2 linked regions of the Drosophila melanogaster genome follow. Changing the gene in region 1 together with any one later gene gives a genetic interaction. Each region holds a gene or a part of one and is shown in the gene's direction. Other genes may lie near its edges.

Region 1 (5,194 bases):
ATAATTTTAATAATCAAACCCAAATTTAAAATATTTTTTTTTTGGTAATCAAAAATTAAATAGAACTTTTAAAAAGATTTTGTTGCGTAAGATTTATGGCGATGGTGACAATGCTAAATTATAATATATATATACATATATTAAAAAAGCGAAACTATTGAAATCTTCTTAATGACTACAAAGTCAAGAGCAAGAGAAAATTACTTTGTATTCTTACTTCGAATGTACTTAGCACGGAGAGGCACATCAATATTAAGGAGTTTTTCTACAGCCAGAGAGTAGCATTGCTCGTTGCACATCATCGAGACGTAGTCCAGCCGGTCAAAATACGGCAATGCCTGGGTGTATGTCTTGTACTCTATGAGCTTTTCGGTCCCACGGTGCAGCAGCCCAATATGCGGATCGGCACGCATAACGGTCTGCAATAACAGAGGTTTTAATTTACACAAGACCTGTGGTCGATTAACAGCTTAAACCTCTCCATCCAGCTCCAGCACAAGACGAAGGACTCCGTGGGCGGCGGGATGTTGTGGGCCGAAGTTCAAGGTCAGATTACGCACCGACTTTTCGACAGGCGTTACTTTGCCTAGTAGAGGAGGTAAGTCAAGCGATTAGTTCAAGGGTCAGTTTAATATTGGGTTACCAACTAACTGTTCCATGGTGGCACTGTCCAAAGTGATGTGACCTCGTCTGGATACATCACCGGGCCGCTAAACTGCTTCATGAACTCAGGGTCTGGATACCACTTGGCTGCTCCCCGTCGCGTCTCCTGAGAACTAAACAACGAGTTTCCAATTGGACAAATATAAATGATATATTCGAATTATGTAAGCATTTACTATTTACGTTAACGCGGCCGATCCAGCTGCAACAAGTTGTGGCCGCAGCCTCAAGTGTGAAAGTCCAGGAATCAACGTTCTTCTCATTATATTGGCCATCCTGATAGTCAAATTCCTCTATTTATGTTTCTTTAGTAACAATTCAGGAATCTAATACAACCAAATAGTTATCCGCAATCGGAATTCTATCCAAAAAATATCGAAAATTACTTTAAACACCGAATCTCGTACAGCTTATATACTATTTACACCAATAATATATCGCAGGTTGTTGCTTCATGAAAATGAAGTGCAAAACACATAAATTCCCTTATATATATTACACACTTTGTCATCCTGCTCGTTTACCCAAGTTTTTATTTATCTTTATATAATGTTATAAACAATAATTGCAATTAATTTTTCGAAGACCTGAATTTTACATCATCCCAATGAAGCGAATTTTGCGTTAATGGAGCACTATAAAAATATAATTACTAGAGATAATAATGATAGCTTCTGCAAGGCTAAACTTATATATCTTAGCAGTATCTCAGCAGAGCGAATGTGGACATTTAATGACTAAAAACAACGAAACTATTTAAATTCTTTAATTAACAATTGATTTCTGGACTTTTCGTCCGATGACTAAACTTAAGAAAACAAAATTATGAAAACTCTTTTAACTTGAACAAAAATTTTATGCAGTCAAGAACCGGTGCTAAGAGATAGTAACGTAAAAACGGATGATCGGACAGACGGTAGTGCTGACTCGGCTCTTGATACTGACCATATATATATTTACTTCAAATTCTTAACTCTTTCACTGGGTTTCAAACTTCTTACACCAATCAAAATAGGTTCGACACGGGTAATAGATAAATTTTAATAATTATAAAATTATTCTTAAAACATAAAATAGTGCTTAAGCCTAGCTAAAAAATTTACTAGGAACTTACATAATGGTTCTGCTACAACAAATGTCAAATAAAATCTTTATAAGACAGTTTCCTATCAATATGGTATGGTTTTTACTGTGAATATTACTTATAGTAGAAATTCGCATATGTTAAATTCAAAAAAAAAAAAAAAAACCAAACCATTTGACTTATATTATAAGATTATACGGGCCTTTGGAAAAAAATCGCTATCGATTGATTTGTAAAATTATCGATGCCCTTAAGTTTCTTTATACATCGAAAGTTAAAGTAAACATCGTTTTTTGTTCCAGCTCTAAACAAGTTTTTTTTATAGCTCTAGCTCTACAGTATTTATATAAATAATTCTTGTATGTAGTCCAAGTGTAGAAAAAACTAATTTAAATGAGCTGTTTTCGAGTATTTCTCTTCAGACAAAAACCTGTTTGGAACAATTTTTAATCATGTGAAAATGTAATTTTGAAAAAGATGTACCAAAAAAGGAAGACGGTGTTATGGGCATATATGTATATTTTGTGTTTTTATATGTCAACTATGTTATACCAACATATTTGTACCGGATTGTTAATCGTATCGAATAAGAATGTTTCCCCGAGAGTAAGATGTTTGTGTATATATAGAGTTTCTTCTGTCTCCTCGGAGAGTGTGTCGTCACTGTGTATGTATACAGAAATGTCTTTTGGTGTATACATACATATGTAATTGTATAATGCTGTTGGGATGTTTTATCACTTAAACATACAATTTTTAAGAAATATATTGATTGTTCCGTTATAAATTGAATGTCAAGAACTGCAGATCCGCTATATATTGTTGATCTTATGCCATGTTGATTGTTTATGACTATGAATGTTAAAAAATATATTAATATTTCGCCAAGCCATTACCAACCCTGTTTGTATAGAAAATGTACCATACATGTATTAAAATGTAGTATCCCACTTAAATTGATAATTGGTTTGCCGGCCTGTTAAATAAGTATTTTTGATCAATCAGGGTCGAATCAAATCAATTAGGCGGTTTCCAAAGTTAAAGCGAAGTACTTTTAAAAATCTCGTAATCTGTCAGGTGGCGGTAGTCAACATATAAATATTGTTGATCAGCATTAACAGCTGCTTATTTCGCCGACTGCCGCCGAACGCGGCGCAAACAGGATCCCTCAGTCTTAGGCTGTTTGTTTTAAAGATCAACTTGTATAAACTTTACATAAAAATATAAATACGCATAATATGCTACTGTTACATTAAAATGTTAACGCGTAATGATCTCAAAGCTTAGAATGAGTAGATATAATATGTAGTTAGATTTTGCAATGGGTAAACTAATTTCAGTCAGGATTGTCAACGAAGTAAAGGAGGAAATGTCAATAGAAGAACACATATTCTTGATCAGTTTACACAGCCATGTCGATATATTTTTTGTCTTTCTTTCCGTTTGCCAAACGACCTTCGAATTGAAGGTTGAAATCCTTTTATTTTGTAGTTCATATACATATACGGGTCGAAAAAGAATGCCGTTAAAGTATTGTTTCTTTTTTAACTGCCTAGTAAACTTTTTGACGAGATAAATTGAAAAGTATAATTCCGCTCTAAAAAAGTCGGGTTAAATTTTCTAAGAACCCTAGGTATTATATCAATTTCATTTTCAGTATCAAAATTTAATCTTGAAGAGGTGAAAACTAAGTCTACGTTAAAAAGAATACTAGACCTAAATCACAGATGAAAAAGAAACAATAATTTAACGGCCTTTTCAATTTAATTTTTTCGGATTGTTCCTATATATGCATATATATTTATATAGTGATATATATGCACAAAAGTTGTATTATTTAACTATTGTCATCAAAAATTAAATTGCACCTGACTTTATAACGCACTACATATAATTTACTCATTTATAAGAAATCTTTTAAAGGGTAAAGTAAACAACCAAACCGCATAGTAGTCTTTAGTCTGTTGGTGCGCTTCGTAACTATACCGTCCAAAGTGAGAAAATCATGTTACAAGTTACACTGCAGTTTCAGTGTTTTTTTTTTATGCCCAGAATTCGTACACGGCTACAGCGTTTTGTTGTAAAAATTGTTATTTTATTGATTGCAGATGGAGCAAGACACTTTGGTGCGGAATGACACAGATGTAGATGTAGCCAGTCAACATATTCTTATTTCGGAGGTTTATTGTATGCATTTAGCAAGAAAGCTACTAACGATCTAACATCGAAAACATTGCTGGCGGTATGCAAGAACGATCAAAGCAACTGCGTCTTACTGTTTCCTGGACCCAGTCAAAGTCTCAGATTCATGACAGTTGTCAACGTCGGAGCATGTTGGCATGTAAGAGGCGCTTAACTACCAGTAAAGTGCTTGAAGACTCACATCCACCAGTAGCTTTCCCCAATTGCAAATCTCACCGGCATCAGCAACAAAAGGAGAAACATAAAGTTCAGCTATACTCTGGAAAACCTTTAAGCATTAAGCTGTACGTGCCAGGAAGTATTGAGAGTATCCCAAAAATTCGACATAAGGCGCTTACGACAACGAATAAACAGCAACCAGCTATGCATCGAAAGTCTAAGAGCAAAAGCAAGTTTCAAGGTTTTAACAATCTCAAGCCGCTTTATTCACCGAGTAAAAGACAACCACCCGAGAAGCATTCATCAGTACTGGTGGAAGCAGGGATAGAATCAAAGGCATCACGGCATTTTGTTGGTAAAAAGAGGATTAAGAACAGAAACTGTTTGTTATCTTCGCCTCAGCCATCGCCAATGAGATGCAAAATGATGATTCCATTTCCAAAGTTTGGTGCCACATCCTTTGTTACGTTGCTCACTTTAATTTGTATGGAAACTGTTTTGCTCTCCACCATGTCTAGTTGCGCCAAGACTTTTTACATGCATTGGAACACATCGAACAGTATGTAAGTACTCAAATATAGTGGTATACTTAAGCAGCGGTATTATAATTTTATTGAAGTTAAAAATTGTAGATTTTTATTTTTCTCTACAAATGTATTATGTTTTATTACAATTATTACAGTTTTTAAGTCAGTAGTATGAGGATTATTATTATTCGTTTAGGGGATTTGTTATTTCAAATAAAATTTTCTTTCCAATAATAAGACTGCTGGCCAATAATATATTGATAAATTAATCCCTAATGTCGCGTATAAACACGCTGGGCTTTTATAAACTTTCCCAGCAATTAGTAATGCACATGAGTCATTTTCGATAGAATAACTATTGTCATAATTTGTTGTGCAAGTGAGCAGACGATGATTAGGCGATCCCATTGATCCCTAAGGATCATGATTAGTAACTTTTTTGGTAATCGCATCAGGGCATATATGGCCTACTCATTTTGTCTGGTTTTCTCTTTCTCGATATAAACATATCCATATCATCTATACCATCCATATTGCAATGGGACATTAAGTTTGTTAG
Region 2 (4,640 bases), on another chromosome or scaffold:
ACACCCGCCCAGACGTGCGCCGTTCTTGGTGCGCTTTCTACCCCCACTCTCAGTCGCTCGACGTCCGCACTCAAAGCATGTTCAAACCAAAGAAACGTACAATTGCCATACTGTTAAGCAGGAATAGCATTATACAGGATTCCGCGAATGATTTGTGTAGCGGGCGTGAGGCTCCAGCTGCCAACAGCTCCGCCCACCTACAGCATTTATAGCTCCATCTTTCCGCTGAGACGAGTAATAGCTATAGATTTTATTTTCCTCTATCTCCGAATAGTTAACTATATCCTTGGATAACATTTCAGGGTCGTGGACTGACTGGACTGAAGAATCTGGGCAACACCTGCTATATGAACAGCATACTGCAGTGCCTGAGCAACACGCCTCAGTTGACCGAGTACTGCATTTCGGACAAATACAAGAATTACATCAGCAGAAGCAACAAGACTAATGGCCAGGTGATCGAAGAGGTGGCTGCACTCATCAAGGAGCTCTGGAATGGACAGTACAAGTGTGTGGCCAGCCGAGATTTGAGGGTATGCAACTGAAAAAAAAAAAACACCCAAATTTCTTTCTAAACTAAACATACTTCATTGCAGTACGTTGTGGGCCAGTACCAGAAGATCTTCCGCGGCGTTGACCAGCAGGACTCACACGAATTCCTCACCATCCTGATGGACTGGCTGCACTCGGATCTCCAGACCCTACATGTGCCCCGTCAGCGGGAGATGATCAGTGCGTCGGAAAAGGCTTGGCTGGAATTTACCAAGGCGAAGGAGAGCATGATTCTGCATTTATTCTATGGCCAAATGAAGAGCACTGTGAAATGTGTGGCCTGCCACAAGGAGTCCGCCACGTACGAGAGTTTTTCTAATCTCAGCCTGGAGCTGCCGCCAAACTCGAATGTATGTCAGCTGAACCAGTGCATGGACATGTACTTCAGTGGAGAAAGGATCCATGGCTGGAATTGTCCTAGTTGTAAAACGAAAAGAGATGCCATCAAGAAGCTGGATATATCGAAGCTGCCACCTGTGCTGGTGGTGCATCTTAAGCGGTAAGTGATGCTAACACTATGCTATGCTTGTTTATAATTTCTTAAATCCCGCATAGCTTCTATGCGGATCCCAGTAACTCTGGCTCGTACATGAAGAAGCAGAACTACTTGCGCTTCCCGCTCGAGAACTTGGACATGAATCCCTACATAGCACGGGCGGAATCGCGGGCGGTAACACCTAAGACCTACCAGCTGTACGCCGTATCCAATCACTACGGCACCATGGAAGGCGGGCACTACACGGCATTTTGCAAGAGCGCCAACTACGGAAAATGGTTCAAGTTCGACGATCAGGTCGTCTCGGCGTTGGACTCCTCTAACGTGGTTTCTAGCGCTGCATACATTCTTTTCTACACCTGGCTGCCACCCATGCAGGTGCCTCTGTAGACGCTTCGCTCGGTTTCCTTTCGGTTTTTACCCCTTTCGTTTTAATTGTTTTTTGTTTTTCTCTCATATTATAGCTTTTAAGGTCTAGTCGCCACACCCTTTTATCATTTACAAATTACCGCTTAACTGTTAACTGCTATTTAAGAGGATAATCGCTTGTTTGTTGTTGTCTAGGCTCTTAGAACAGTATTACGCGTGGGCGTATTTTCAATGGGTGCAGGCTGCATTCACTAAAACCAAGAACTTCAAGTGCATTACCAGTGTAACAAAGAGAAGCCCGCATATACGCCTGTGTATGCGGGACTATAGTTTATTGTATTTTGCAAATATATTTTAAAACCAAATAAACGAAATTCAATTTCTGATACAAAGAATTTCTTTGAAAGAATCATGCGTAGGGTTTTTAGAAAACAAATTGGGGAGAGCGGGTATTTTACACTCAACAAATAATATAAAAAAGGGGGTGAAAGTTATTTTACCATTGCAAAGAAAAATTCAGCTAATTTTCGCGCCGAAAAGTTCAATTCGAGATATCCGATAAGTAAATATATTCACTTCCAACTAACGGTCACACTGTAAAACGCCCCCGCTCTTTAGCAAATGCAGTGTTGCCAACTCTTGCTTTCAATAAATAGCTAGTTAGTTGATTTATCAATTATTACATTTATAGTGTTTTATGTATGCCCTATTTTTCATTTATAAAGAGTTATGATTTAAACTTATTAAATAAGATGATGAAATTGATGATTCAAAAGAAGAACATAGCTATAACAGTGCACCTAAAAAATGGCCAAAAATACAGGTGCTTGCAATCACTTAATCTAATCTGGCTAGTAGCCAGCTAAAGCGGCAGCACCGACCACGTATTTGATTGGATTATTTGATAGTCAACGCCAAATCACGGCACTGCAGCCGCGACTCCAGAGAATGCCAACTGTTTAGGATCGTGCATTAAGTCCGACTTAACCAATTCGCAAGTCACACGCTTTAAAAACCGTCATCTGCCCGCCATGAATCTGCCGGAACGCAGCCGTTTTGTGATCTACGCCGTCGGTATCTTCGTATGCTACTTCTTGTACGGAATTGTCCAGGAGAAGTTGACGCGGGGCCGCTACGGCGAGGAGGTACAGACAGATGGATCCGTGGGAGAGCGCTTCACTTACGCCTTGGCCCTTGTTTGGGTGCAGTGCCTCTGCAACTATGTGTTTGCCAAGGGTAAGGATTACGTGGACTTGTAACGAATCAATTCTGATCTGTGGTCTTCCAGTGCTGCTGACCATTAGGCCGCAAAAGGAGGACACCACCAACGCGGGCTCCTACGTGGCCTGTTCGCTGACCTATCTTCTGGCCATGGTCTCCACCAATATGGCCATGCGCTGGGTTCCCTATCCCACTGCTGTGGTGGGTAAATCCGCCAAGCCCATCCCCGTCATGATCCTGGGCGTGCTGATTGGTCGCAAATCCTACAGCTGGACGCGCTATGCTTGCGTATTGACCATTGTCCTGGGAGTTATTCTCTTTATGTACAAGGAGGGCAAGGTGTCCAATTTGCCGGCTGAGACCACGCTTCTCGGCGAGGTGCTGCTCTTCCTCAGTTTGTCAATGGACGGATTGACTGGAGCCGTTCAGGAACGCATCCGAGCGGCCAGCGCGCCTTCCGGTCAGCAGATGATGAGGGCCATGAACTTCTGGAGCACCCTGATGCTTGGCGTTGCCATGGTATTTACAGGTGAGTGTTAAAAACACTTTATTTGAGCTAAAAATATTGGCTAAGACCTTTTTATGTAAGCCCCATACGTTTTTATAAATGTTCTGAAAAACTATAAAAAAAATCTTCAGGTGAGGCCAAGGAATTCATGTACTTCACCATCCGACATCCCGAGGCGTGGACCCATTTATCGCTGATAGCTGTGTGCGGCGTGCTCGGTCAGTTCTTCATCTTTCTGATGGTGGCCAGCTTTGGACCTCTGGCCTGCTCCGTGGTTACGACGACGCGAAAGTTCTTTACCGTCCTGTGCTCCGTTCTGCTGTTCGGAAACGTCCTGATTGCCCGCCAGTGGCTTGGAGCTGTCCTGGTGTTCGCCGCACTCTTTGTGGACATGCTGTACGGCAAGAAGGCGCCACTGGCTACGGCCAAAAAGCCGCCAGTCGAGGGAAAGCTATCCGAGGAAAAGAAACTGAATTCGTAGAATTTGATAGATGATTGCATAGCCCTATGTACTGTACATACACAAATTAAGAAGACAATGCTTCCGGCTCGAGCGGCTGCAGCGCCAAAGTTTCCCCATTTCCTAGAACTGCTTATCGTACAAAGGATTCTAGCTATAGCGAACACAGCATTCGATACTTGATCTGCAACCCATAGACCGTCGTTTAAGTTAATTAAATTATTGATATCTATTAGAAAAGGAACAAATATTGTGCAAAAGTTTACACCAGACCTGCGGGTCTCTAACATACAGGATCATTCAATCATTTAATGCTACAATTTATAATTAAAACGTGCTCTTTTATTAATGGTTGTATTATTTATATGGAACGTTACTAAGAAGGCCTAACAAAGGCAACTTATTTTCTGGCTCAGTTTAATAAATATTTTCCCATTTTTTTTTGTATTTTCTTTAACTTGAATTTAAAGCGCTTAAATCAGAGCTGCCACCTTACACGAAATGTGAACTACGTTCATAGGCAAAAGTAAGATGCTATGAAACTCGAGTTCCAAGATAAAATATCAATTTCGTGTTATACTGAAATAAGATTTAATATTGTGTTAGCTACTATATAAACCGTAATAATATGAAAAAAAGACTACACAAATTAGTTGTATCGATACCGCGACGAATCAATTGGCAACAATCGATAGGATCACTTTGCCGACCCTGGCAACTCTAGTTTATTGCCGTAGCCGTTGCAGATACGGTCGAAATTTTCAGAATGTTTTTAAAATGTATAAATCCAGTGTGCGCAATGCTAATTATACAATAAACTAATCGGGACGAAAATTTCCGAAAAATAAAAGAACGCATGTTTCGAGTTTCGGAACGGAACGGAAGGAAACACAAACGCGAAATTAAGCGAAAGTTGGAAAAAGGATATGCCCAGTATTAGCGGGAAAATGCAATAAAAATTGCAAAGAAAAGCAATCGAAATGCAAAAATTGTGATTATTTTTAACAGCAACGAATGCAGTGTGACGTGTGATT

The links.
Region 2: of Ephrin (region 1) and meigo, changing one suppresses a phenotype caused by changing the other (phenotypic suppression), as found in Drosophila melanogaster (one study listed by BioGRID).

Annotation. Positions count from the first base shown.
Region 1 is NC_004353.4:569,758-574,951, forward strand, and holds the start of Ephrin (ephrin), read left to right. Parts: upstream 1-1,997; 5' UTR 1,998-2,414; intron 2,415-3,855; 5' UTR 3,856-3,991; coding exon 3,992-4,671; intron 4,672-5,194. Other genes in the region: ND-49 (NADH dehydrogenase (ubiquinone) 49 kDa subunit), read right to left, coding at 218-419, 477-586, 652-776, 847-938.
Region 2 is NT_033777.3:21,136,413-21,141,052, forward strand, and holds meigo (medial glomeruli), read left to right. Parts: upstream 1-1,857; 5' UTR 1,858-2,076; intron 2,077-2,142; 5' UTR 2,143-2,448; coding exon 2,449-2,653; intron 2,654-2,705; coding exon 2,706-3,167; intron 3,168-3,277; coding exon 3,278-3,627; 3' UTR 3,628-3,953; downstream 3,954-4,640. Other genes in the region: Usp8 (ubiquitin specific protease 8), read left to right, coding at 303-533, 597-1,051, 1,108-1,438. UniProt on the Drosophila melanogaster protein: Probable sugar transporter.